4 linked regions of the Astyanax mexicanus genome follow. The protein of the gene in region 4 interacts with the protein of the main gene of each other region in a pairwise test. Links are inferred from orthologs where the notes say so. Each region holds a gene or a part of one and is shown on either strand. Other genes may lie near its edges. The genes, in order: fam81b, neuronal migration protein doublecortin, cwf19l2 and rint1.

Region 1 (7,668 bases), on a different chromosome or scaffold from region 4:
AGAGTCCTTTTTATCTGGTAACCAAAAAAAATTGTGGTTACCAGAAAAAACCTTTAGCTTTGATTATTGCAGCATGCATTCACTGTTTCAATAAGCTTCTGCAGTGCCGCAAAATTTATTTTAATCCAGTGGTGCATTATTTTTTAACCAAGATCTTGCAGCATTAATGGTGGTAGAGTCTGACCACTGCACAAAGTCTTCTCCAGCACATCCCAAAGATTCTCAATGAGGTTAAGTTCTGTCCATCCATGTGTGAAAATAATGATCTCATGCTCCTTGATGAACCACTCTTTCACAATTCCAGCCCCATGAATCCTGGCATTGTTATCTTGGAATATGCTTGTTAATCCATTGATAGAATAGCATGATCTATATTCAGTATATTCAGGTATTCAGTCAGCTGACTTCATTCTTTCAGCACATACTGTTGCTGAACCTAGACCTGCAGACCAACTGCAGCAACAACCCCAGATCATTTACTTTTACATTTTTTTTGGCCAGGCACTGTATGATGCAAGTTAACAAGGTGGTAAGAGATCAGAAACTATTTTTCACCATTTAACTCAAGTTCCACTGACCTGAATGTCCTTGCTGAGCTGTTTGACAATGTGTGTGATGGTCTGAATGTGATTCTCTAGAAGTTTCCTTGCAGACGCCTCCATCAGCACAGATCCTTGGGTGGCATGGAGGCTGCTGACCATTTCCTCTTTGATCTGGAAGGCCTGCTGCATCAAGGAGGTCAAGGTTCGCTCTTGTGTGGTCATCTCTGAGTAAGTTTACTGACCTTTATAAAAGGATAAAATATCTTTTATTATCCTTACTTATAACCTACGGGTTAGAATGTTGGTTACATTGTAAGAACCTGAAAGAACACAGTACATTTACCAGTTTTAAACCAACACTAACAGTGTTAGATTTTGACACCCACTGGGTTAATTTAACACTAAAAGAGTTGATTCAACAATGGATAATTTATTTACAGTATACTGTTAATTCGAATTAAATATCTTCTTAAACACAGCATTTTGCAGATGTACCAAGTCTACCGAAAGTTGCGGGAATCTACCGCATATCAATAACGGCTCCCTGATGCTCGCAAGTCAGATAAAAAGAGTCTTTTTTGTTCTTTGAAATTATTGTCTCCAAACAAATAAATTTGAGACTTTATTAAGATCTATGACTATAGTGTGTTTTACCTATCTATAGCTTATGTAATGTTAGTAACATTAGGCTGGAGATTAGTTGTGGGAGAGGTACTGTACTTTTCTACAATGCAGAACATTGAGCTGCTCTTGTAATAGTCGTAGGCCACGTTCGTGAGTCTTGGAAATCACCCAAAATGAGCAACATGTTCAAAGCTGAAGAGGCACCGAACATGAGCAGTGCTTCTGTTAAAAAAAAAAAAAAACTGCTCAATTTTGTGGCTAAAGCCTGAGGACCTCCTCAAACCACATCGGCCATTGATTAGCTGCCCCTGTGTGCTGTGTCACACAAACGAGCGCTTCAGGTAAAGGGGTTAGTTCAAGTGTCAGAATGTCAGAATCAAATAAAGGAAAGGTCAGTGCTTATGCAGGGGTCAGTGTCATAACATTTAGAGCTAAACACCTTGATTGGGAAGTTTAATTAACAGCAGACAACATCAGCAGGGTCTTTCCCTACATGCTGGTATTGGAGGTGCGATTCTCGGTTTTAAAAATAAAGGTGCCAACAAGGGTTATATGGAGTGATCACACTGATGACCTTGTAATGCATGTTTTTAACAACCTTAAATTATTTGGGATGGTATGTAAAATGCAAATAAAATAAATATTCAGTGCTTAAATTTTTTACTTTGACATTTATTTCATTGCAAAAAAAATAATGAAAAAAAAATGTTGGTACAGGGCAAAAAAGTGGTATTAATAAAAAAAAAACAGCTGCAGTAGGAGCAATCTGCAAATAACTCATGACTCGAAATAAAAAGAGCAACAGATCTTGTGGACATTCATTATGCCACCATCTACAGTACATTATATCATTAAAAGCTTCAGAGTATCTGGAGAAACCCTGTGTGCAAAGGAAAAAAACAGACTGTCAATATTGGATGCTGGTGATCTTCGGGCCCTCAGGTGGTACTGCATTAAAAACAGGCATGATTCTGGAAATCACTGCAGGGGCTCAGGAATACTTCCAGAAATCACTGAATGTGAACACAGATCACCGTGCAAGACACAAATCTGTAAGTTAAAGCTATATCGTGCGAAAAGAAGACCCTGTCATGCTCAGCCCAATCTCCAGACCTGAACCCCACTGATGATGAATGGTTACAAGCCAATTAAACAAAGCTGAACTGCTTAAATTTTTGTGTCTGGCATAAGATCAACGAAAAGCATGAAATTCGTTATTAAATCAGATTATTCCAACAAATATTTCTGAAGTCTTCCTGAATCAAAACATTGATATTGTTGTTGTTTTAAAATGAATATAAACTTGTTTTCTTTGCATTATTTGACTTTTGATAGCTCTGCATCTTTATTGTAATTTTCTTCGTTTATCATTTTCTGCAAATAAATCCTGTATAAGACTTTTTATTTGGATTTAGGTAGAAACTTTAGTAGTTTATAGAATAAAGCAACAATATTCATTTTACTCAAACATATATCTATAAATAGCAAAATCAGAAAAACTTTGAAATGGTCCACTATTTGTTTCGGCGCTTTATGTATGTAAATATAAGTTTTATAAAGGGTTCATATAGGTATAGAAAACTTAATACAGCTTAATTACCTTAATGTTGCATATTAATCAAACAGCCTTTCCTGGAAAGAAAATTTTGTATCTTGAGCGAAATGCTGGTCTGATGAGAAGAAGGCCAATAAAAGCAACAGGCTTTAGGTGAAAACAAGATTTTTCATTGTCAGCCAATAAACAGAAGCTCATTTAAATGCCTAAAATGTTTTAGATTCTGATCCAGTACTCACTTCAAGATCAGCCTCCTGTCATCTGCTGGCTGAATTGTAAGTCTGTTGTTTGGATCGATCTCTTAGATACAGCACTAAGTGCTCTGGAGGGGCGTGTCTGTGGGCTTGACAACTGGACAATGTTTTACACATTTCCATCTGAACCGTGGAATTTAATTTGAGCTTACTGCTTCGTACACTTACAGTAAATCACCTTCCAATCAGCCTGAGGGCCGGATTCCCAGACCCAGATGAAGATTCTAGTCTAGACTAGAGAGGATGCCCAGTAATAATTCTCTTTTGTCACTGCAGCTTAGTGTAAAACTAGGCCTAATTTGTGTTTGGGGAAAGTAGACCTTAAAGTGTGAGAGGGAAAGAGTTTATTAGATTAGGCTAGTTGGTACTAGTGGATTCTAACACAGAATAAAAAGCATTTCTGATAAATATTAGAATGTGAGAATGTCTTAATGCTAAAGTAGATGTTTAAGCTTGTCTATTGGGAGAAATCAGATATCCTTTTTTTTTTAAACTTGAACTTTTCCCCTTAACACTACAAAATAAAATGTGCTTAATTTAGAGATTTATGAAAACACTCATGGAAAAATAACAAAATAATGTAACTTACAATAGTTAAGGAAAAGGGGAGAAATTGTTGATATACCATATACACGGTATTTGTTGTAAGGGCCTATTTAACACAGCAAAACATTAAATGTAGCCTGCACATAAGTAAAATACAGTCTTTTATACACATACAAATCAAGTAAAACCAATGTCTTTGTGTCCTGATAAACTTAAGTATGAATAATCCTATTGTTTACCAGCACTTTTCTCCCAACAGAGACATTGTGTGTCACCACATTACCTATTAAACTACACCAGCTTTGTCCATAAGTGGCAAAAGGCTTTCTAGTCCTAAGTGCAAATGTCATCATTTCCGAACATTATAGCACTTTACCCCAAAAGGGACTTATTTTTCTCTGTTTAATTTACTGGACCCAGGATTTCTGGTCTGATCATAATCACTGACGCAAGTCTCTCAGAGACTTGTTTTACCGTTTGAGTGGATTGCCCTGGATTTGACTCTTCAGTTGGATCAATTGAGTGGTCATTTAGTGTTAATCCCACACCAAGAGGTACAACTTTGAAATCAATTCAGTCTAAAGCCTTGACAGTACTTGTAAACATATCAGTTATAGCCGCATGTGTGTATCGTGTGTATCTGTATGTAGTAATAATAATATGTAAAAAACAAACAAACAAAAAAAAACAAACATGTGCACAGTACCAGTCAAAAGTTTGGACACACCTTAAACAACATAAATCATTTAGTAAACAAAAACGATGTTCTGTTTTGCACATCTTTAATGGATTATGAGGGATAGAGTCACCTGGACTGGCTTTCAGTTAACAGCTGCTGAATTTCTTGTCCTCTTAATGTGTTTGCGAGTGCATCAGCTGTAAAGTTGTGTAGAGGTAGAGTTGGTATACATTGAATAGCCCTATTTGAGTAATGTTCTAATCCAGATTATGGCAAGAACTTCTCATCTGAATATAGATTACTTTAAGAAATGGACGTGAAGTGCATGTTACTATATATTTTGTTTCCATAAACAATATAAGAAACAATAAGGAAACAAAATATTCCAGGAAATTTTCCAAACATAGTGACATACAGTTCATACAGGGTGTTACAACATTTCATGTTTTCTCAATTTATGGATAAAGAAAACAGGGCCTTTTCCAAATATGCATACTCCTAGTGATTGCTGAAATAGAGCAAAACTTCACTAGCTGTTTAACTTTTATCCTACCTAATCCCCCGAGACCAAGACCACACACTGCCAATCTATGCACATGACCAAGACTCTCGAACACCAGGACTGTCAGTTGGCATATGACTCTTCTAAATACAGATCAAATGCACATGATATTTCATATATCCTCTGTTTCTGAGAAACACATAAACAACATCTGGTGTGTTTGACACACATACACACACAAACACACTTCTCTTATAACTAACAACAATAATCAACAACATTCCTTGAAAGAATTTTCATCCTGTAATCATGAATGGCATTGGCTGTCCAGAAGAGGGAGCCTCACTGTGCTTTTATTGTGCCCTTAAACTTTAAGTCTTGTGGTCAATAGAAGTGTGAGGTGGTCCAGCGGGGGTTGGAATGAGCAGGGTGATGATAATGGGGAGGAGGATGGAGAAGAGGAGGACTAGAAGGATGAAGAGGGGGAGTGTGTGAGTGAATGTGTGTGTGTGTGTGTGCTGGAGTTAGTGCTGGAGGCTGCTGCAGGCGTGTTTAGCTCTGGTCCACAGTGTGATTGTGTGTGTGTGTGTGTGTGTGTGAGAGAGAGAGAATCTGGAGAGTCCTGCCTGTCTGTCTATCTCTATCTATCTGTCAGTGGGAGGAGGATATTAGGGGGGTGTGGTAGTTAATAGAAGCTGAAAGACCTTGTAGGACCTTGGTTGGTTTATTATTAGTGAGTTTTTTATTATTTTTTTAGGACTGGGATATAGACTCCATCCTTTCTCACTCTCTCTCACTCTCTTACACACACTGTGAGTGAGTGTGTGTGTGTGGCAGTGTGTGAGTGTGTGTGTGTCACTCTCCTCAGCCGCAGCAGACTGGCGGGTTGCTGCTCGGGCAGGATGGATGAGAAACCCCGGGATGAGAGCAGCAGCAGCGGCAGCGCTAAAGGACACGACACGCCGTCCTACCAGCGGAGGATGTGGAGGAATTTCCAGGAGAAAACTAAGCCGTTTTTGAGCCCCAAGCTGGGCTCGGAGAGGCGCGGGGTGGACGGTGGAGGGGCTGGAGGAGGAGGAGGTGGTGGTGGAGGAGGCAGTAAGAAGGAGACAGGTCTGTGGATGTTCAAGCGGAAAAAGAAACAGGCGCTGGACCGGGTCTTCTCGTCCTCCCAGCCCAACCTCAGCGCCTCTCCCTCGCCGTCTCTGACCGCTAAAGCCGAGCTCAGCCCCGCCGCGTCCGGAACGCCCGGAGCCGCCGGAGGAGGAGCAGGAAGAGCCGCGGTTACCAAGCCCCAGCTGCCCGTCTCGGCTCACGGCAGTCCGCAGCTCACCGTAGCCCACCTCGCTCTGTCCCAGCAGCAGAAGAGCTCGTCCCTGGGCTCGGCGTGCTTCGAGAAGCTGGTGGTGGAGTCCGCAGCCTCCAGTGAGGATGAGCTGGCCAAGAACGCCAGTGACTCGGTAAGAGAGAGAGAGTGTGTGTGTGTTTGTGAGAGAGCGTGTGTGTGGGGTGAAGGGGTCCCACTATGACTTTAGTTGAAGGTTGTCTTGTTCCTGTTGGATTTTAGGCTGGTTTCGAGAAAGTTAACTACCCATTTTTACAGTTTTAAACACTTTAGCACACACTTCAGTTATATTTCTACAATTGCACATATCGATAATTCCTGTAAAGTATAACCTACCTGGTTTATGTTGCCTGTTTTTTTAAAGAAAGTACTTAATGCTGGTCATTACTGTAACATGTCACTTGTGACAAACTTCAAACCTGGTTTCTAGTGTTGGGTTTTAAAAAAAGTGCTCCGAGCTTCTAGATTTGTTTTTCTAGAAATTTCAAATTTGGTTTCTGTTGCTTGTTTTTCTAGAAGGTGCTCCATGTTGGTCATTCCTGTAACATGTCACCTGTGACAAACTTCACGCACTGTTTCTATAGTGTCTGGTTTTGAAGAAAGTGCCCCATGTAGGTCATTCTTGTAATCTGTCACCTGTGACAAACTTCAAACCTGGTTTCTAGTGTTGGGTTTTAAAGAAAGTGCTCCAAGCTTCTAGATTTTTGTTCTAAAATTTTTAAACCTGGTTTCTGTGCTTGTTTTTCTAGAAAGTGCTCTGTGTTGGTCATTCCTGTAACATGTCACCTGTAAAAAAAACTTCATCCATTGTTTCTATAGTGTCTGGTTTTGAAGAAAGTGCCCCATGTTGGTCATTCTTGTAACCTGTCACCTGTGACAAACTTCAAACATGGTTTCTGTTGCTTGTTTTTCTATAAAGTGCTCCATGCTGGTCATTCCTGTAACCTGTAACAGACATCAAACCTGGATTATATAGTGTGTGGTTTTAAAGAAAGTGCTCCATGTTGGTCATTCCTTCTAGTTTTTTCTAGAAACTTTAAACCTTTGTTTTCTTTAGACCTTGTTCTTGTTTTTTTTTTATAGAAAGTGCTGCATGTTGGTCATTCCTGTAACATGTCACCTGTGACAAATTTCAAACCCGGTTTCTGTTGCTTGTTTTTTTTTTTTTTTTAGAAGGTGCTCCATGTTTGTCATTCCTGTAACATGTCACCTGTGAAAAACATGTTTTTTGTTGTTTGTTTTTCTAGAAACCTCTCCAGGTTGGTCATTAGTGTAACATTCCACCTGTGACAAATGCCACCCCTGTTTTTTTATAATGTCTGGTTTTGGAGAAAGTACTCCATGTTGGTCATTCTTGTAACATGCCGACTATGGCAAACTTAAATCCCGGATTCTATAGTGTCTGGTTTTGGAAAGTTTCTTTAGAAAAAGTTCCACACACTGGTCCTTTATGTAAGACATCACTTGTCGCACATGTAAAAACCTGGTTTCTGATTTTAGAGAAAGTTAACCAAGAAAAGTAATTGTTGCTGCCTGTGTTTTGGGAAAAGTGCCTTGCATTCTTTAAAAGCTCACTGATATGCAAATAGAGTGATTTAAATGAGCCTTATCATGTCAAGCC
Region 2 (7,418 bases), on a different chromosome or scaffold from region 4:
GCTGAGCAAGGCCATAGCAACCACTTGGCAACTGCATAGCAACTACATGAGATACCGAACCATCTGATTTTCCTTAGCAACTCCATCGAAACCACCATTGAGACACAGAATCACAGAAACTGCTAAGTAACACCCTATCAGCCACGTAGCTAATGCATAGCAATACAATACAAATGCTTATCAATACCATATATAAACATACTCAGAAACATATATTATTACATATTATGATAAAATGTATTATCATACAATAAAATACTAAAAAACTACATATTATAAAAACACGCACATACACCAGTGTGTTTTAGGGGGCGTGTGATGTTCCTATGATCTTGTGATCTTCTGTATCTTCTGAAAGTCTAAACACCACGGTGCTCCACCCAACCCGTACTTCAAAAGAAAAGAATCTGTCCATTGAATTAAAACTCTATTATATTTCTGTATTGAGTCACCAGGTCCTCTGATCTGCGCTAAGCTCAGGAAACTGTATTGTCCATGCTAACTCAGCGTAGCATACATCTGAAACACATCAGAGTTTTACTTTAACCTCTGCAAACAAAAGATTTTTTTTGTATGAAAAGCTGCATTTACGAAACGTAACCCCATAACCACCTGGACAAAACCTAAAGATGATGCAATTCTAGTCTTTACAAGTCCAGGTTTCTCATTTTTGACATCACTACAAACAAAGAAGATGGAAGCTAGTTGGCTAAAGGTTTAGATCAGATTTAAATGGCTTTTACTCGTTTAAACCCTGATAGCAAAAATGCTTTTTATGGCTATTTCTTGGCCAAATACCACATGCCAATCCTGAGTTGCATTGCCTTAATTCTGGCCCAAATGCTGAGCTGTTCTAACATCTAGAACAAGTGTTGTACCCCGGCTGCTGGGTATAATATAGCAATAATGCTAAACCACATGTGCCTAAGCTCGTGCCACCACCCTGGTTGCAGAATATGAATATGAACTAAAAGTCTAAATTAAAAAAATACTTACACAACAACTACCCACAAACACAAATCAATCTATATATACATCAAATCAAGGTGGACTTGGACCCCCAAACAATATATACCCAAGTATAAACCTTAACCATCCAGCTACAGCCAAATATTCATCTATACATCAAATATGGGTGGATTTGAAACGTATAAAGGTATGATTATGTCCAAACAACCAACCCAAATAACCAAATGTTCATGCATACATCAAATAATAAAGCATGGAAGGGAGGGTATACATGTATACCTCAACCACCCAAGAAACCATGTATCCAACCATGTATCCTTCAAATTGGGGTTGTTGTAGGTCCCACAAAGCCTAAATAACTACACCAGCCACCTCACAACCATTCATCCATTGGGCCATTGAAAAGCCTAAGTACTTACAATATACAATATACCTACCCAAAGCCCCATGCACAATATATACCTTAAACATTCCACCAACTATCAAACCATTGGTTCATATATCCATCAAATTTGGGTTTAATTGGGTACCAAAAAGTCCAAATAAATATACACCTGCCACAACATGTTCATATATATATAAGGCGAAAATATATACCCCAACAACCAAACACTCCTCTATACCTTAAAATTCATGAATATATATATTTATTAACCACCATACAGTTCTGGAAAAAATAAAGAGACCATTTCAGTTTCTGAATCCATTTCTCTGATTTTATATTTGTATATATTTGAGTAAAATGAACATTGCTGTACCCCAAATAATGCAAAGAAAACAAGTTCATATTCATAAAGTTTTGAGAGTTCAGAAATCAATATTTGGTGGAATAACCCTGGTTTTTAATCATAGTTTTTTCATGCATCTTGGCATCATGTTCTCCTTCACCAGTCTTACACACTGCTTTTGGATAACTTTATGCTGCTTTACTCCTGGTGCAAAAATTCAAGCAGTTCAGTTTGGTTTGATGGCTTGTGATCTCCAAACCTCCAAACCATTGGATCAAATATCCATCAAACTGGGGTTCAATTGGGTACCAAAAATCAAGTACCCATTATAAGTATATAACAGCAGTTTTCTTCAACCAGGGGGCCCTAATCCTATATATAAAAAAATCAGTAGCAGTATTAGTTACCCCACTTTTAGCAGATTTTACCCAAATACTCATTTTTAAGAAAATATAGCTCTAAACTGACACTGATATGTGAGAGTTGAGTAAATAAAACACTTTATGATAAAAAATTACGGAATTGACCGCTACTGAGGGTTAAAGACCGTAAAATTGACCGTTATGACCGTTATTCCCTAAACGCGCTGACCGTTCCATTGTACAGAAAGCATTAGCGGCAGCGCGAGCTGCACTACAGCAATTTCTAAGGCAGGGGCTGGCACGCGCGCGCGCGCACACACACAGGCGTGCACGCTCGCGCACACCCCATGCATCAAAAAAGGGAAAAAAGAGACGGTAGCGATTAACATCTAATGACTAACGATTTAAACGCAATCTGTCATTTAATAACAGTCGAATCGGATCTTTGCGGTATAAAACACTATAACAGATTAAAAAGGAAACTTTAACGTTACAGACATATTAGCCATCAATAAAACCAGCACAATTCATAACTTTTATGTAAAAAAAAGATTAATAGACAATTTACTGAATACTCGAATAATCGACTAACCGACAGGTTTTTTTTTTTTTTTTCAATCTCTAGCTGGAACTGCTCCCACCTGCTCACGCACCGAGTGTCTCGCGCCGCATCAAAGCCGTTACGCACCTACAGCAGGTAACACTCCACACACTCTCTCTCTCCCACACACTCCCACACACACACACTCACTCTGAGACTCCAGCACGTGCGGTATAACTGTAAGGTAACTGTAACCAGTGTAAAGTGCCCCGGGTGGGTGCGGTACTTACCCCAGCGCTGGTGCACGCGGAGTGTGTGTGAGGGTGTGTGTGTGGACTGAGTGTGTGTGAGTGTGTGAGGGTGGGTGTGGATGCTGCAGGAGCGCGAGCTGCTCTCCGTGCCTTTGTCTGCCGGTGCTGCCTGCCGGTTACAGCCGCGTGGTCCTAGCGCCGCCCGATCACACACACACACACACACACACACACACACACACACACACACACACACACACACACACACATACACGGTCAGTCAGTGAGTAGACAAACCGAGTTTACGAGGTTCATGCATGACGTCACCCACACTGAGGTGTACAGTTTAGAGGGGGGGGGGGGCAGATTTTCCATTCAGTGTTCAAACCAGACTCTACCCCCCCTCTCTGTCTATCTCTCTCTCTCTATCACTCTCTCTCTCACTCTGTCTCTCTCACTCTGTCTCTCTCTCTCTCACTCTCTCTCTCTCTGTCTCTCTCTCTCTCTCTTTCACTTTTTTCTATCTATTATCAATAAGGACATCAGAGAAACAGAGAGATTGAGTAGAGAGAGATAGACTGGACAGAGAGAAAAAGAAAGAGAGAAAGTGAAATAGTGAGAGAGAGAGAGATAGTGAGAGAGAGAAATAGTGAGAGAGATATAGTGATACAAAGAGAGAAAGAGATAGTGAGAGTGAGACAGAAAGGGATAGTAAGAGAAAGAAAGAAAGAAATTAAGAGAGAGACAGTGAGAGATAAAGAGAGATAGAACGCGAAAGAGTGAAGAAGGTAAGAGGTAAATTGTTGGTGTTCATGTGTTCATTAGTGAATTCATAGTGAATCACTTGTGAATCAGTAGTAGAACAGTAGTGACACTTGTATGTATTTGTAGTGGATTGGTAGTGAATCACTAGACAGTCAGCAAATAATCAATAAAAGATCAGTAAAGGATCAATAGTGAATCGGTAATGAAGCAGTAGAGGATCATTAGTGAATCAGTGGTGAAGCAATAGTGGTTCATTGGTGGTTTGGTAGAAGATCAGTTGTGCTATCCAAACACCATAAGTCTGCACTAAACACCTTCATTCTCCACCAAACACCAACATTATCCTCTAAACTCCATAAATCTTTACCAATAAACACCATCATTGTCCACTAAACAACATCATTACATTATTACATTTTATTGTATTTTTATAGCGCTTTTCAGGAAACTCAAAGACGCTTATTCCCCACTAAACACTGCCATTGTCCACTAAACACCATCATTCCCCACTAAACACCATCATTCTACACCAAACACCATCATTCTCCTCTAAACAACAACATTCTCCATTAAACATCATTATTCTACACCAAACACCATCGTTTCACACCAAACACATCATTCCCCACTAAACATCAACATTCTCCAATCAAACACCAACATTATCTACTAAACACCATCATTCTCCACTAAACAAACACCATTCTCCGCTCAACACCATCATTCTCCACTAGGCACCATAATTCTTCACTAAACACCAACATTCTCCATTAAACTCCATCATAAACTACACCAAACACTTTCATTCTCCTCTAAACACCACCATTTTTTACTAAGCCCCATCATTCTTCACAAAAAAAAACTGAACACTGTTGTAGAAATGAAAATGAAAGGTGGGCTACCCCCACCTCTCATCCGGGGTACAACTCCCCAGATACGTCAACACCAACCTTTTCCAACTTAACACCATCATTCTACAACAAATACCATCATTGATAGTAGTGAACTCACGCTCAGATCTTCATCAGTTGATAAAGGTGTCTCAGATGTTCTCCCACTGATCACCTGGTCGATACTCCGCAGGTAATAATCACCTGGCTGTGAGGTAAAGAATAGGCTCTCTCTGATTGGCTAAACACTTTTTTGTGGTTTAAACACAAAGCTCCGCCTTTATTGACAGTCTCGTTCGTGTATGGTCTATAAGTTCAAAGCTCTTGTGGTGAACATTTTCAAAGTAAAGTACACATCTATACATTAAGTGATTGATCTTTTCACGCTAATAAACACATTGTAGCTCTTTTTTTAGAAGAAAGTGACGTTCTCCACTCAAAGATCAAAGGCGAAACATGAGCATATGGTGGATCTTTAAACTTATCTAAATATCTAAATGATCTAATTTATGTTGAGATAATGTAAACTCTTAATAACAGCAAAACTGTATGAATGGACATCAGCTGTTATAAGTTGTGATCCTTTGTTTTTACCGCTGTGTTTTAGCAGAGTTCTACTCTCCTCCGAGCTTCATTATTGGATTTTTTTTCCCAACATGCACCAGCAGTTCAGAGCTGCAGTGTGAAGCTATTTTAAAGTGGAACATGCAGAGAACCTAATATAATATCTGGTTCTAGACTTAAAAACCAACGGTTCCGTAAAGATCCATAAAGAACATGTGTGTAGATAATTTAGACTCTTAATAACTCCAGGTATCTATCCATCCTTCTGTCTGTTTGTTGGTCTATCTATCTTTTTGTCTATACGTCTACCTGTCTGTCTTTTTGTCCATCTATCTGCTTGTCTATATATCTATATGTCTGTCTGTCTATCTATTGTTTGTCTGCCCATATATCCATCTATCTCTCTTTTCCTCTTTCTATATGGGTCCATATATCTGTCGGTCTATCTATCTGTCTGTCTGTCTGTCTGTCTGTCCATCTATCGTCCATCAGTGTAGATATATTCAGAAGCTCTGCGGCTATTTAAAGCAGGCAGAAGGAAGGAGGAACTCCAGAGGAACATTCCTGATGGATGAAGATCCACACAACTGTCCTAATCCTCCTACAGGGCGTGTCCTAGTGCACACTCAGCACCACCACATTACTGCTGAGATATCTGTCTGTCTGTCTGTCTGTTAGTCTGTCCATCTATACATCCTTATAGCTGGTGGTTGGTCTACTGTCTGTTTGTCTTCTGTGTATATGTGTGTCCATAAGTCTGTCTGTCTATTTATTAATTTGTCTGTCTTTTTGTCCATGTATTTGCCTGTCTGTCTGCTTGTCTATCTATATTTCTGCCTGCCCATCTGTTCATCCCTCTATCTGTCTGTCGGTCTATCTATCTATCTGTCTTTTTGTCTGTGTGTCTGTTTGTCCAACTATCTATCTGTCCATATATTTGTCTGTCTATCTATTGTTTGTCTTCCCATATATATATATATATGTATCTGTCTGTTCCTCCATCTATATGGGTGTCCATAACTGTCTGTCTGATTGTCTATCTGTCTGTCTGATTGTCTGTCTCTCTGTCCATCTGTCTGTCTATCTATATATCTGTTATCTGCCTGTTTGTTTTTACATCTATTTGCCTTTTTGTCTATCTGTTTGTCAATGTATTTGTCTGAATGCCTATCTATCTGTCTGATTGTGTCTGTCTGTCTGTTTGTCCAACTATCTGTCTATCTGTCCATACATCTGTCTGTCTATTTATTAATTTGTCTGTCTTTTTGTCCATGTATTTGCCTGTCTGTCTGCTTGTCTATCTATATTTCTGCCTGCCCATCTGTTCATCCCTCTATCTGTCTGTCGGTCTATCTATCTATCTGTCTTTTTGTCTGCTTGTCTATATTTGTCTATATTTCTGCCAGCCCATCTATCCATCCTTCTATCTGTCTGACAGTATATCTATCTGTCTGTTTGTCCATCTATCTGTCTGTCTTTCTATCTATCTGTCTGCCTTTCTGTCTGATTGTGTCTGTTTGTCCAACTATCTATCTGTCCATATATTTGTCTGTCTATCTATTGTTTGTCTTCCCATATATATATATATATATGTATCTGTCTGTTCCTCCATCTATATGGGTGTCCATAACTGTCTGTCTGATTGTCTATCTGTCTGTCTGATTGTCTGTTTGTCAATGTATCTGTCTGAATGCCTATCTATCTGTCTGTTTGTGCATCTGTCTGTCTGTCTTTCTATCTATCTGTCTGCCTTTTTTTATCTATCTGTCTGATTGTGTCTGTCTGTCTGTTTGTCCAACTATCTGTCTATCTATCCATACATCTGTCTGTCTATCTATTGTTTGTCTTCCCATATATATATATATGTATATGTATCTGTCTGTTCCTCCGTCTATATGGGTGTCCATTTCTGTCTGTCTGATTGTCTATCTCTTTGTCTGATTTATCTACCTGTCTATATATCTGTTATCTGCCTGTTTGTTTTTACACCTATTTGCCTTTCTGTCTATCTGTCTGTTTGTCAATATATCTGTCTAAATGTCTATCTATTGTTTGTCTTCCCATATATCCATCTAGCTGTCTGTTTTTCTGTCAATATGGGTGTCCATATCTGTCTGTCTGATCGTCTATCTGTCTGTCTGTCTATCAGTCTAATTGCCTGTCTGTCTGTCTATCTATCTATCTATCTATCTATCTATCTATCTATCTATCTATCTATCTATCTATCTATCTATCTATCTATGGTGGTGGAGGTCTGTGTTAGTGGAGGGTGTGTGAGCTGCTATGTCATGCTCAGCTGTCTCCTGCTGCATTCCCAGCATATATCTCACACACACACACACACACAC
Region 3 (7,741 bases), on a different chromosome or scaffold from region 4:
GAGATATTTGTGGGTTTCAAGAGGGTTAACTATTAAACTATGGCTCCTGTTTTGAGATTAGAACAGGCTAACTGAACAAGCTGAGACCAGTATTCATATTAGGTCAGGTCGACCTTAAGAATGTTCACCACTCACTCGTGTTGGTGGAACGGCGGGTGATGAGGCATGTTAAGTTGAGGCATAAAGATTTGGCCAGATTGGACTGAAGTTTAGATTAGGCAAGGCAGCGATATGCTGGTTATATTTGTATTAGTCAGAAATACAAAGCCTAACTGTTTCGAGTGTCGTTTTTTGTTGATTCCAAAAATCATGTTTTATACAGAAGATATACTGACCTTTCAGCGGGGATGCTCAATATCATTTTTATGTTTTATTTGCTTTATTATGGTTACCTTTTTTAACCACAGTACCAGCAGTCTCCTCTGGAGGCAGTCCACTCCCTCCATCTTTCCAGTAAGGGTTCAGTTCCAGCCTGTGGAGACCGGCCTGATAAATGGAGGGAGACACACACAAACACACACTTTTACTACCAATATATTCATCTAAATTCACTGTTAACATTATTTAGTTAAAACAACACACTTTATACATATACAAACATTAATAGAACAAACAGGCTTAGCTCCAAACATACTATAATTACTTTTTTAAAAGACCAGAGCTAAACTACTGTATCCTGAATGGGCAGAATTACACAGTTGTAGTTGTTTTTAATAGCATATGCTTTCAGGATTACAGCTTGCAAGTGAGCATTTCCACACACTTTTGTATGTCTGTCACAAACACACACACACACACACACCTGTTCGATGGAGCGTTCTTTCTCTCGCTCCGCCTCTTTCTCTGCCTCCTTTTGTGCTCGTCGCTCGGCAACAGATGTCGTCTTCATGGCCAAAAAATCAAATGTCATCCACTCATCTCTCTGTTCAACAAACAAAAACTGTCAAAACTAGCACAGGTGCATGTGCGTGTGTTAGAGTGTGTGTATATGAGAGAGAGAGAGAGAGAGAGAGAGAGACTGAGAGAGAGTGTGAGTAAGTGAGTGAGTGAGTGAGTACTGGTATATTTGCACTGGGTGTTTGCATGCTGTTGCGTGTTTCTTACTTGGTCATTACTGGTTGAACTGGCAGTGGGTGTGGCCTGTTCTGCAACCTTCCAAGCTTTTTCCACGCCCCCTGACTGTGGCACAGCTTCCACCCATTCATCGGAGTCCTGTAACACCAAGAGAATACACACACACACTCACCAAACGATACAAAAGATACACACATGCACACACTCACCAAGCAACAAGATAAACATACACACACAAACTGACAAGTTACACACTCATACACACAGAAGATACACATACACACACACACCAAGAAGATGAGATACACAGACACACTTACACAAACACACATCAATGAGACAAGATAAACATACAAACACACCAAGGAGACAAAATAAACACACACTCACCAAAGGAGAAGACACACAGAAACACACACACACACCAAGGACACAAAATAGACACACACACAGCAAGGACACAAGATACAAATAAACACACACCAGTGAAAAAAAAAGATAACACACACACATCCATACACACCAAAGAGACAAGATACACACACACAGGCTGGGGACGGGATTAACATGTAAAGAAACAAACCGCCGAGTTGTCGGACGAGCCGTCCTCCTCCTGCTGTTTGCTTTTTTCTTTCTTCATTTTCTTTTTCTTTTCCTTCTTCTTCTTTTTGGATTTCTCCTTTTTCTTCTTCTTCAGAGAATGTTCCTGAATACAAAACACACAACAAATCTGAATGGTAAACAAGTCCGAATACAGATGATTAATTAAGACTTCAGAGGTGATTAACCACACCCACTTACCTGGCCCATCTCCTGCAGACGCTGGTCAATTTCTGGCAGCATCCAGGTGTGTTCACCTCGGGCCTTCCTCTCTGCCTCCCTCCGCTCCTCATCTTCATACTTCTTCTTTGCCTGGGGGGAAGAGAGGGACAGAGAGAACTGAAGAACATCTCATTCTTTGGTTCTGCAGGTGTATTTATGGTTCTGTTTGCTTTGTGTGCTAAATCTACTATACTTATATTAGCTTCTTTAGTCACCTGGTGAAAGATCAGCTCTAGTTGTAGTTACCTGGTGGAGGATTAGCTCTAGCTTTAGTCACCTGCTGGCGGATCAGCTCTAGCTTTAGTCACCGGATGGAGGACCAGCCCTAGTTTTAGTTACCTGGTGGAGGATCAGCTGTAGCTTTAGTCACCGGGTGAAAGATCAGCCCTAGTTTTAGTCACCTGGTGGAGAATTAGCTCTAGCTTTAGTCACTTGGTGGAGGATCAGCTCTAGCTTTAGTCACCTGGTGGAGAATTAGCTCTAGCTTTAGTTACCTGGTGGAGGATCAGTTTCAGTCACCTGCTGGAAGAGTAGCTTTAGTCACCTGGTGGAGAATCAGCTCTAGCTTTAGTCACCTAGTGGAGGACCAGCTCTAGTTTTAGTTACCTGGTGGAGGATCAGCTCTAGTTTTAGTAACCTAGTGAAGGATCAGCTCTACCTTTAGTCACTTGGTGGAGGATCAGTTCTATCTGCTGGGGGATCAGCTGTAGCTCAGTGTAAGGTGTGCTCAGGTGTGTCCAGGTGAGTTTACCTGGTGGAGAACATTCTCTCTCTGTTTCCTCTTTTCTGATTTTCTCTCCTCGATGTTCGTCTTGCTTTCAAATCGTCCTCCGTACGTCGCCATCACGCCGACGAAAACAGTCGTAAAGCGGTTTGAGATGTCGTAATGTTCAGCTTGCTGTAGTCCTCACGTCGACCGTTATGTTTTATTTTCTTTTTTAGCGGCGCTGCCGACACGTTTACACTCTAATATAAGATTCGGAAACTCTAAAGTGCCAATATGTATCAATAATTATCTATATTTCCATAAATAATTCTCTATATATTTAAAATTCTGCGTTGATATAAACAGCACACGACTCAGGTACCTATAGTTGCAACTACAATACCCAGAAGCCTCATGAACAGGTCTCAGCCAAACAAAGTGCGGAAATTTTCCGCACGAGGGAAATGGCGGAGTGTTCAAGGGAGCGATCGAGAGGTAAAATAAAAGTCTCATAATATAATAAAAGTCTAATTGTATAATAAAAGTCCTGAATTAAATAAATAAACTGTAGTTTATGGTTAAATAGAAGTCATGTTTGAAAGAAAGTTCTAATTGCAAATAAAGTCATTGCATTTTATTTATGTTATTGATGTCAAAAAGATTTTTATTTGCCTTTCTTACTGAAAAAACTTCTGTTATATTTCTGTTATACTTCATTTTGGCGAGTGACTCCTTTTATTATTTTGAACATATGATATTTATTGATTAGCAAGTAGACAACTTCTGCATTGGAGTTACATATTACATCGAGATACATACAGTACCAGTCAAAAGTTTTTTTTATTTAATTTACTTTATACACTGTAGATTAATATTAAAGACATAAAAACAATAAAGAAACACGTATGGAATTACGTATTAAACAGTAAAAAAGTTTTCTTGTCCTCCACAATCCCCTGACCTAAACCTGATCAACTGAGATGGTGATTTGGGATGAGCTGGAGCTTCACATCGTGAAGGAAAAGAAGCAACTATCGTTCAGCACCTACATGAACTCCTCCAAGACGCTGATAAAACTATTCCAGGTGACACTCCCTCACTCTACTAAAACACTGAACATTTCTGTATGTGTTCCTGTATAACTTTAATGAAATCTTCAATGTGAAATGTACAATGTAACATTAAATGAGAAACTTTTGAATGTATAAGCCAATAAAACAATAGTAAATAATAATTAAAGGTTCTAGTAATTACAACACATTAATAATAAACTACAAGTATGTACACTGCTCCGAAACACAGCTGTAAACTGTTAGAAAGAGAAGTGAAACCTGATGGTTACTGTAAGGATAAATGTCCTGCATTAACAAATACAAAACCACGTGGCAGCAGGTCATATTTTATTCATCTTTCCCTTTCTCATGTACCTGCGTTTATACTGTATATGTGGGATATCATTAGGAGATGTCAGATAACTGTGTTTAGAGACATGCAGATGTTTTTTACTAGTGGTTTAGGCTATTTAATAAAGTTTAAAAGTTTTGCGTTGGCCGGGAATCGAACCCGGGTCAACTGCTTGGAAGGCAGCTATGCTCACCACTATACCACCAACGCTGGGAAACATTTGGAGAAGAAAAGATCTACAGACCTGAAATTATTGCATTCCACACTTCTTCACTAACATACTGAATAAACAAAAACTGTGATCTGTCTCCCTCTAGCGGCGCACACAGGTACCACAGTCCCGTACAATTGCACTACATATATCTCTCAGAACCTGACAGATTTACCACAAAGCACACTTTCTCAGTTACACAGATATCTAAAGCCCAAAGTTAAACACTGGCCAATAGAAATGCCTTTCAGTTCTATTATTTTTAGACAGACTTAGTTATCTGGACAACTGACAATCCTGCTTTAGGATATATATAAGGATATCTTCTGTTTCTTAAAGCAAATTGAGAACCCATAGCAAAGACAGAATTTTCATTTTTTTAAATGCTGTGTAGTATAATAATAGTCTTGATCCCTGGGAAGGAAACTGCCCCATTAGCATTTTCACAAAAACACATCTTGAGACAGCAGGGCAGTTTATTTATTATCTTCATTTTCTTATTGAACCCGTGTATACACTGTCTATGTGAAGAGAGGTCAGATAACTGTATTAAGAGACATACAGAGTTTTTTTGTGGTTTAGGCTATTAAGATAAGTTTAAAAGTTCTGCGTTGGCCGGGAATCGAACCCGGGTCAACTGCTTGGAAGGCAGCTATGCTCACCACTATACCACCAACGCTGGATTACACCTGGAGAAGAAAAGATCCACAGACCTGAAATCACTGCATTCCACACTCCCTCACTAACCTCCTGAATAAACATACTGATCTGCCTCCCTCTAGCGGCGCACGCAGATACTACACTCACACTGCACTGCATCTGACTCAGTTTCTCAGTTACACAGATTTCTAAAGCCCATAGTTGAACACCAGCCAATAGGAATGCCCCTCAACTCTTTTGTTATAAGACAAACTTGACTTTAGGCGCAAGTAATCTGGATTATTTAAAGTCGGGCTTTAAATAATACTGGATATTCAGTACTCCTAGAACAAATTGTGAGAATTTGTGTCCTGTTAACCCAGGGCAAAGACAGAGAGCAAAAAATATATATTTTCATGGATAAGACCTAAACACTAAGCCTAGTTGTAGACTGTATTTTTCTTTCAGTTAATAAAAAAATCTTCATTTAAAATGCCATCTAGTGCTAGAATAGTCTTAATCCCTAGCAGAGAAACTGGAAATTCACAAATACTAATACTTTTAAAATAAACAAGAGGAACAACAACAAAAAAAAACCTTACAACTACTTTTATAGACTATTCTAGAATATATTTTCCTTTTAGAGGAAAATCCCCATCCAAAATGCTTTGTAGGTCTAAGGTTAGTCTGGGTAACTGTCCCTAAATGTGCTGTACTGTAGGGTGGAACCGGAGAGAAAAGAGATAGAATTTACAAACAAACAAAAACAAGCATTTAGTTTACTTTATCATAAGCCTATTTGCTTTTGCTTTTAATACATTATATAATCTAATTTAGTAATGTTTACTACGGTTATTTTAGTAAGTTGAAAAGAAAATGTAACAAATCAGCACCACGTTGCAGCAGGTCAGTTTACACATAAGGGGTATTATGAAGAGAAGTCACACAACTGTGCTTAGAGACATGCAGAGGTCTTCAATGGTGGTTTAGGCTCTGTAGTACAGTTTAAAAGTTCTGCGTTGGCCGGGAATCGAACCCGGGTCAACTGCTTGGAAGGCAGCTATGCTCACCACTATACCACCAACGCTGGAAAACATCTGGAGAAGAAAAGATCTACAGACCTAAAATCACTGTTCTGTGTCGCCCTCTTGTGGTGCACACAGATACTACACTCACCTGCACACTAACACAACCAGGCTGCACCTGTGTGACCAGCAGGTTTGAATGCAGGCGGTATGCACTGTATGTATGAAGATTTAAATCACTTTTAAATTCTTACCTTAAACCCTGAGCCCACCTTGAATTCTTCACTTTTATATAGTTGTCAAAGTGCGGGTAAAAGGGGTAAGTTGTTCAAGGCAGTGTTAAAGACATCAGACCTAAATTAGGACATTTTAATCAATCAACCTTTATTTTAACTGGAGTACATTGAGGGTGGACTTGATAAAAGAGTAGCCGAGCTAATACAGAGTAGAGATTGTCAAAGAAAAAAGACCCAGCGTTTTTATAGTATAATATATATCATACAATAAGAATTTCACTGTACTTGAAAACTTGTTTCTTACTGTGCACATGACTATAAACTATTTGACTCTTGAATCTTGAATCTAGAATAAGACACAAAACACATAAGATAAAAAAATAGGTAATACAAATGAAATGAAATCAACAACAGATGAATAAAGTAAATTAATTTAGCACAGAAAACAGTAAAAATGTAATAAACGTAAATAATTAACCATAAATTATTATTATTAAATATAATAATAATGATAATAATAATAATAATAATAATAATAATTATTATTATTATTATTATTATTATTATTATTATTATTATTATTATTATTATTATTGTTGTTATTATTATTATTATTATTATTATTATTATTATTATTATTATTGTTTTTGTTATATTAGTTTATTTCTTGTTTTTATTATAACGTTTCCTATTATTAGTTTGCTTTGATAAATTATTCTAAATTCTAAATTGTATTTTATTCAGGAACAGCATTAAGCCAATACAGAGCGGGGAAATAAGTCCAAATTCCTCCACTATAAAAAACAACATTTACCGTGATGCACCGGCGGCGGTCTCCTTGGTAACCAGCTGTTTGGTAATGTGATTGGTCTTTACAAAGCTAAAAAAGTAGCTAGGTTAGCTATCTATTGTAAAATGTTGTAAATTCAGTTTTTGTGATTATTTGATTACTTAGGAGTGAACATTTTGTGAGCATCATATTTTATAATCCAGTACAGTCCAGCTGAGGTGAAATACACCCTGTTGGCCTGTTTATTTTTTTTATTTCGGTTTGGTTATGAGTTGTACAAGTTTTACTTTAGGTTAGCATGTTAGCCTGTTGTTAGTCAGCAGAGATAACGTTACCGTTTAAATACCGGTTTAGTTTGTTTGTTAGCTAACATTGTTTGGATGTTCAAAATGAACGGAGCTCCACTGGACTTCTCTTTTAAACAACTCAGCTCGCTAGCAGGTAAGACAACTATAAAAACAAGTTAATAAATCAGTGTATTTATTTTATCACAGATTGCATATATAATATATATTATATGTATTTAAAGCCATGGAAAAATATAAGAGACGACTTAAAACTGATGAGTTTCTTTAATTTGTCCAAATTGAAAACATCTGAAATATAATCAAGAGGAAGATGGATAATCACAAGCCATCAAACCAAGCTGAACTGCTTGTATATTTGCAGCAGAAGTGGCATAAAGTTATCCAAGAGCAGTGTGTAAGACTGGTGGAGGAGAAGAAGCCAAGATTACAACCAAGGTTATTACACCAAATATTGATTTCTCAACTTGTTATCTTCGCATTATTTGAAGTCTGAAAGATCTGCACTTGTTATTTCAGCCATATCTCA
Region 4 (7,210 bases):
AAATTACTAAGAGTTTAAAAAGAATAATGTTGAAATATTAAAAGCAAAAAGTAGATTTATTTACTTTTTTTATATGTAAACAGTAACCTACATTTATAACCTACTGCTTATTAATACTCTAGTACAGTTTAATAATACAGTGTCCAGATTTTGCAAGAAGTCGCTTGCGCTTCTTCTTCGGCACCCCGTAATATTAATTATTATTAAAGATTAAACCTCTGTTTTTGGTAATTACCTTTGATTGCTGGGGACTGAAGTCTTTATAAGAAATTGTGCATTGTTTTACATTGTTTACACTTCAGAAAAAAATATATATAATTTCCATTTTTTAAAAATAAGACTGGCTGTTACATAATTTGTAGGAGAATAGTGATGTGCACAATCTAACCTTGTTTAGTGAGTTGGTCTGGCGGTTCCCAGTGAAATGATACCTAAACCTCTTGCTGAGGGGCAGTAGCATGATCTGAATAGGCAGCGAGAGTGGTGGGGTCTGTGGTAAGCCTGGACGAGTGGGCAATTCCTTTTTCTCAGATATAAGATCGTCACTGGGACAGGAGTCAAGTGCAAAGATTTTTCCATTCAGTTTCATGCATATTATGTTGTGAATATTTTGTTGCCTAATTTTGTTGCATAATAAGATCCATTTATCACATGATAAAAAATACACTGTCTTATTGTCTGCCTAAAACAAAGGGCTGCATTGCTAATAAAAGAAGAACTGTGTGTGAGCTGCTGACCGTAGCACAATGGTTAGTGTAGATGTACGTTTATGTGTGTCTCTGTGACACAAAGGATACGACATCTGCAGGGAGAGGAGCTGAGACACCAGGAGCTCCAGCTGGCTGTTGAGCTCCTGTGCATTAGCTGGAGGAGAGAGGGACTGGGTCGGGGGAGAGACTATCGGCCAGTGTAGCTGTGTCAGCACCTCCTCAAAGTCACTGAGATTAAGAAAAACAAACATGACAAATTTCATCAACAATTTCTTTGAATAGCAGTCAATTTTATTTAATATTATCCCAACAATAACAGCAAACCCAAATCAATTACCATTAGCCAGCCTGCTCTCAGATTTTGGAACAGATTTTATAATTTATAACATTGACATTAAAAGGGCATGTTTAGTCCCTGACATGGGGTTTAACAAAGTAAAAACATTAAGAATATATTTGCTAACTTCAAAACTCTGAATGTAATTATAATATTATATAAAACATTGGCAATACCTTGCAAGCTTGTCTTTCAGGATCTTGTGCCAGAAGTGCAATGTTTCTCGAAGGAATGCTTGTAGATGTGAGCAGCCCGACTCTTGAAGGCCCATGTCTAGAGTGGCCATATTGCCCACAGCTCCAATTGCCTCCCAAACACTGTTAGTCATCAGGAACTGCTGAATACTGTCACTGTTCAAAACATAGAGCAGCCATGACAAATCACAAATCACAAAAAAGAGAGGTAAATGTCTAGAATGTACACTCCCTGGATATGTATGTATGCATCTCTACAGTATATATGATTGATATGATAGATGGATAAATAGATAAAAAGGATATTGGGCTGCAGAGCACACCCTCTCATTACTCCCTTCTTGGAGAAAAAAGCAAGACATTTTTTTCCTCATGCAAGCCATCTATGAATCCATCCATTCATCCATAGATCAATAAATCCATCCATTCATCCATTTACAGACGCAGCCATTCAGGCTTTTATCCATGCAAAGATCCATCTATCAGGGATATATATGTTTGAGGCTATTTCTAGAAAGTCTCTAACGGATTGCACGTAAAAATATTCAAAAGGCTCTTAGCATGAATTGGTTTTATTGCTGTGATTCAACAATTTGACTTTTCTAGGCTCTTACTAATACTTACAGGTAAGATTTTCTCATTTTTTATTGTTTCTAAATTTCCAGGTTTTCCAGAATGCATAGGAATGCTCTCTATACATACGTGGATAGGTTTTTTGATTGATGAATGGATGGATAAAAACTTACTGGGTCCACAGCCTTTTCTCTCACCACTATCTTGATCAATCATGACTGGATCAATAATTACAAGTGTTAATTTTGCTGTATTGCTCACCTAAGCTCCTCAATGCGAGCCAAGCACTGAAGGTACTTCATGTGCCTTTCCAGCGTGTCCAGCTGTCCAAGTGTTTGTCCTAGGCTGTCGGCCCAGCTCTGAGCTCCCTGCAGATGCTGCTGCAGCGTGTTGGACAGGAGCCTCTCCTTCTGGAGCAGGACCTCCAGCTTCGTCCGGGCCTCCTCTGCTGCAGACAGAGCAGCAGATACACGCAGAGGCACTGAGCTGGATACAGTCAACACCTGCAGGAATAAAAAGGTCAGCCAGTCAGCGGAGACGTTATGTCTATAAGGTTGAACTAGACATATCATGAAAACACATTGCTCACACTGCTTAGTATATAAAACCATCTGTCTAAAAAAAAATAGCACCTTTTATTAGATAGTGATTTATTTGTAAATGAAAATATTTGCACACACACACACACACAAACACACACACACACACACATGTCTAGGCAGTTTAAGATATCCAAATAAATCAAACACACAGTGGACTGTACTGTATTTCTGAATATAGTGAACTCTCTCTCTCTCTCTCACACACACACACACACACACACACACACACACACACACACACACACACACACATACACACTTTAATGCTTTTTAAACAGTTGAGGTAAGAGAGAGGTCAGTCAGTAGAGCTGATGCAGGGCTGGTTTACCTGCTCCTCCAGTAACATGTTCTCTGCTGTCAGTTTCTCCAGAAGCCCCCCAACTTTCCTCAGAGACTTCAGGTCTCCTCCAATCTCCCTCTGCAGCAGCTCCGCCACATGCTGCTCCACACAGCCCCCGACCCCCTCAGCACAGCTGGATCCGGGCTCGCTTTTATTCACACCGCTATCTTCACCATTCATACTGTTATTATCCTGCTCCACAGCGGCCGCCGCCATGTTTCTCCCTCAGCCTGCCCACGTCATCAGCAGCAAACGCTCTCGCGCGCGCCCTCTACTGGAGAGAGCGCGGGAAAGCATTTACATTATAGAATAAGAGTCCCTTTATTTTCTCAAGCATGCTACATACAGTACTAGTGCATTTCAAAAAAATTAAATATCATGCAAATTTACAAAAAATTGTGAAAATTATATAATACATAGATTTATTTTAAGCGTTTTTTTGTTCATGATTATGACTTACAGCTAATGAAAACTCAAAAATCAGTTTCTCAGAAAGTTAGACTATTATCTAAAACCAATTAGTTCTTTCGGCAGTGTGCCAAGTCCTGCTTGAAAATAAAATTTGCATCTCCATGAGTTGTCAGCAGAGGGAAGCATAAAGTGCTGTAGGGTTTATCGGGGTGATGATAATTTGCAGTTTCTGAGGCTGAAAATCTGATTAATTTATCCTGTGCAACAGGTAACTTCAGATATTCCTTTCCTAGGGCGGTCCTGATGAGAGCCAGTTTCATCATGACGTTTTTTATGGTCTTTGCGATTGCACTTGAGGATAATGTGTTCTTTAAAATGTATTCAGATTGACTGACCTTCATTTCTTAAAGTATTTGTTTTCTTTAATTAGTTGAGTAGTTCTTGCAATACTATGTTTTACTTAAATAGGGTATGTATACTACTGTATATCAACTCTACCTCTTCACAACTTTACAACTGATGGTGGTCTCAAACACATTAAAAGTGCTAGAAATTCAAGTAATTATCTCTTGATTATCTCAGCACAGCTGTCAAGAAATACTGAAAGTCATTCCAGGTGCCTGTTTCTAAAATATAAAACATATTCTGGTATGTTTAACATTTTTTGTGTTTAATGATTAATTCCATACGTTTCTTCACAGTTTGAAAGACTTCAGTATTAAGCTACAATGCAGATTTAAAAAAAAAAAATAATCAAAACCACTGAAATTAGGGTGTGTTCAAACTTTTGACTGGTGGTACTGTATGTATGTATAATTTTTACAGTTAAAAATATTTTATGTAATTTCCAGTGTTATGGTCTGTTACTCTGTTACTTCTGATAAAAAAAAATATAATAGAAAATCTGATCAAAAATATGTGATGTCATGTCCTCTGGCAGTTTTTAGATGCTTCTTGTGGAGGGTAGCACATGGAATTAAGGCACAAAAGTGACTCTGTCAGCTCTGTTAATGGTTTAAATAATTTAAAGAGTTTAAACCACTAGTAAAGGTCTTTTAAGGCTGAATACAGTTGTTACTTCAGAATAATATGAAAATTAGGCTAAAAAAGCTCAAAGCTAACATGAGATGATTTGAGATGACCTAAGGAAAAACAGATGTTAGCATGTCTAAGTAGTCTTGGGTCTTCTTCTTGAGGGAAGTGGATGGAAAGGATGATGGCTGGGGTGAGAGGGGTCAGATATAATCTTTCCAGCACGCTTTGCGACCATACTGCTATATACGCACTGAAGTGTTGGTACATCCAGTGATCCAATCTGCTGTGCTGATTATCCACAGGAGTTTGATTCATTCTTGTGAGGGAGACAACGAATGATGTGAGGATGGATGTGATGATCACTGTGTAAAAGTGGATCCTCACTGGCATGGCCTGAAGGCAGGTTTAATTACTTCAGCTGCTTTAGGAAGAACATCCACTGCTGCAGTTTCTGAATATGATGGATATAATGATGACCAGAAACTGGAGTGACTCCAGAGTGGAAACCTCAGCACCATGGGTGTCTGTGGGGGTGGGTCTAAAGTCTGGTCTACAGTCATCTCTACAGTCTTTTGTGTCTTCGGCAGCAGGTGGTTGCTGCCGCACCAGGGCACCAGCTGCTCAACTTCCTCTCTGTAGGCAGACTCATTACTGCTGGTTATGAGGCTGACCATAGTGGTGGTGTCCTCAAACGTCAGATTCTTCACAGATGAATCTTTGGAGATGCAGAGCCTGAAGAGCAGGGGGGAAAGCACAGGCTTGTAGTACTCCAATACAGAGAGTCCAGATGTCCAACGTGTTTTCCTAACCCATATGCTGCCTCCTGTTGGTCAGGAAATCCATGATCCATTGGCAGATGGGATTTGGCACTGACAGCTCGCACTGCTTGACCTGCAGATGCTCTGGCACAATGGTGTTAAAAGCTGAGCTGTCCACAAACAAAACTCTAGCGTAGATCCCTGAACTGTGGAGATGCTGTAACATGGAGTGCAATGCCAAATTTATTGCGTCATGGACAGACCTGTTTGCTCTATACACAAACTGTGGGGGGTCCAGCAGAAGATCTGAAATTGCTTTCAGGTGGTCTAGGACCCGGCATTTAAAAATCAGAACTTTTTCTTCTTTTTCTTCGTACTCTCCCTTAGCAGATAATCATCAATATTGTAGCAACATAGAATGCTGACAGGGAGAATTGATAAACAACTGGTTCAAGTTAATTTTAACACTCTGTGGCAGCTAAATTAAATTAAATAAAGTGTATTATACCAGTGTATTCAGCTTACTTCTTCTTCACAAACAGGATGTTTTCCAGGTGAAATATGCAGGCTGTACAGGTCTAGGATAATAGCATTAGCTAAAGTAACTTAGCATAACTTTTATTTGTTTTCCAAACCATCACTGCTTGTGGAAACTTCACCCTAGACCTCAGGCAGCTTGGACAGATACTATGGCTGTAATCCATAATAACAAACAATAAAAAAATAAACACTTAAAATAGATCACTCTGTGTGTAATACATCTAAATAATATATATGTTTCACATTTTAAACCAAATTACTGAAATAAACTAACTTTAATGATATAACATTTTTTTGACTGCACTAGTATATACAGTGGAGACACTGTTCAGGTAATTTTGTAATGTTTATTCTCTGACATTTTTGTATAATTTAGTTGTTAAGAAATCTGTTTCTTTGCTATAGTGTAAATAGAAACCAGGGGTCACAATGAACATTAAGAAAGCCAGTGTACTATTCAAAAAGGCCAGAGGATGCATGCATAACATATAACGTTACCTAACACCCTTCATTTAGCTCTCCACCACTAACTAGAGTTTACTAGAGTATAACATGTTTTAAAAATGTGTGTTTACCATTGCCTAATGAAATCTTTTTGGCTGGTGTTTTTACTTCTGTTTGCTGATGCTCTAGTGTATGTATTTTCTGCACACCTTTGTGTGTGTTCCTCTTTGCCATCTGTCTGCTCATTAGACTAGGTTGCTTAACACCTTTAAGGGTGCCCAGTGTCCATCTTGCAGGCCTGTGCTTGCTTTGGATGGCACGATGGACCTGTCCTGGAGGATGTTTGGCTTACAGTGAGCTTGCCAAAGTAAACCTAGGCTGGAGCAACAGCTGTAGAGCCATCCATAAGCTGTCCCACCATGCTGTTCCCTCTGTTTAATTCCACAACAGAACCAGCCCTAACATGGTGCATCATCGATCTCATTATGTAACTCGTACTCAGACTAAGGGGGTGATTTGTTGAATGGCTGTGGTGGGAACTGGGTATCTACTGAACATCCATACTGGCTCAGTAAATAGGAAACACACTGCTCAATAGCAGTACTGGTCACATTATGTCAGTATTGTGACCAGTATTTTGTCCCATTTGTGAATGTTTTGAACTGGTTGCTTAGCAGCAGCAATCATAGCAACAGTTTGCTAACCCACAACCCAGCAAACACTAGTCTTGTTAAACTAACCACTGTTTTTGGTTGAACACCATTTGTGGGGATTAAAAAAAAAACGTTTGGCAAAGTGCATGAATGTGTGCATGAATATAAGGTGCAGAACTTCTAAAAAAAAAAAAGCAATGAATAGAAAGGTGTGTTTGTTTTGTGGTTGAATTAACTAAGGACTGAAATAAAGTAACTTAAAAGTAAACATAATAAAATAAAATAAAAACAGCCTTCTTCTTCTTCATCACCTCCTGCATGGCCTCTCAGTTCTTTTATGACTAACGACTAAAAAAAGTCATGAAGTGTGCGCCTGGTATAAGCTTTTGATCTGTTTTCCCAATCCATGAACATGACCAGTGGCAATGGTACTCTTTCTGGAGGGAGCTCTCTTGTGCACCACTATGCTGATTCAAGGTTAGCACAATGTTAACAAACAACATTAGTTAACTGATTGTTATGCTGCACTACAATTAAATATTTTATTCGTGCTGTCCATCTGTTTTTTGTGCGTGCATTTTTGTTTTTTTGCACTGGAACTACAATTTTAATT

The links.
Region 1: the proteins of rint1 (region 4) and fam81b interact in binary tests that used the Homo sapiens proteins (3 or more experiments, as listed by UniProt). The two-hybrid records come from large-scale screens. The link is inferred for Astyanax mexicanus from reciprocal best matches to the Homo sapiens genes RINT1 and FAM81B.
Region 2: the proteins of rint1 (region 4) and neuronal migration protein doublecortin interact in binary tests that used the Homo sapiens proteins (3 or more experiments, as listed by UniProt). The two-hybrid records come from large-scale screens. The link is inferred for Astyanax mexicanus from reciprocal best matches to the Homo sapiens genes RINT1 and DCX.
Region 3: the proteins of rint1 (region 4) and cwf19l2 interact in binary tests that used the Homo sapiens proteins (3 or more experiments, as listed by UniProt). The two-hybrid records come from large-scale screens. The link is inferred for Astyanax mexicanus from reciprocal best matches to the Homo sapiens genes RINT1 and CWF19L2.

Annotation. Positions count from the first base shown.
Region 1 is NC_064429.1:25,519,778-25,527,445, forward strand, and holds the start of fam81b (protein FAM81B), read right to left. Parts: upstream 3,008-7,668; 5' UTR 2,961-3,007; intron 785-2,960; 5' UTR 765-784; coding exon 579-764; intron 1-578. Other genes in the region: mctp1a (multiple C2 and transmembrane domain-containing protein 1), read left to right, coding at 5,605-6,162.
Region 2 is NC_064408.1:1,766,170-1,773,587, reverse strand, and holds the start of neuronal migration protein doublecortin, read right to left. Parts: upstream 3,017-7,418; 5' UTR 2,891-3,016; intron 1-2,890. UniProt on the Homo sapiens protein: Microtubule-associated protein required for initial steps of neuronal dispersion and cortex lamination during cerebral cortex development. May act by competing with the putative neuronal protein kinase DCLK1 in binding to a target protein.
Region 3 is NC_064425.1:12,510,941-12,518,681, forward strand, and holds the start of cwf19l2 (CWF19-like protein 2), read right to left. Parts: upstream 3,010-7,741; 5' UTR 2,741-3,009; coding exon 2,648-2,740; intron 1,987-2,647; coding exon 1,876-1,986; intron 1,781-1,875; coding exon 1,658-1,780; intron 1,213-1,657; coding exon 1,105-1,212; intron 923-1,104; coding exon 803-922; intron 487-802; coding exon 393-486; intron 1-392. Other genes in the region: lrrc51 (leucine rich repeat containing 51), read left to right, coding at 7,288-7,348.
Region 4 is NC_064409.1:11,969,129-11,976,338, forward strand, and holds the start of rint1 (RAD50-interacting protein 1), read right to left. Parts: upstream 3,020-7,210; 5' UTR 2,973-3,019; coding exon 2,745-2,972; intron 2,318-2,744; coding exon 2,076-2,317; intron 1,398-2,075; coding exon 1,224-1,397; intron 939-1,223; coding exon 798-938; intron 546-797; coding exon 389-545; intron 1-388. UniProt on the Homo sapiens protein: Involved in regulation of membrane traffic between the Golgi and the endoplasmic reticulum (ER); the function is proposed to depend on its association in the NRZ complex which is believed to play a role in SNARE assembly at the ER.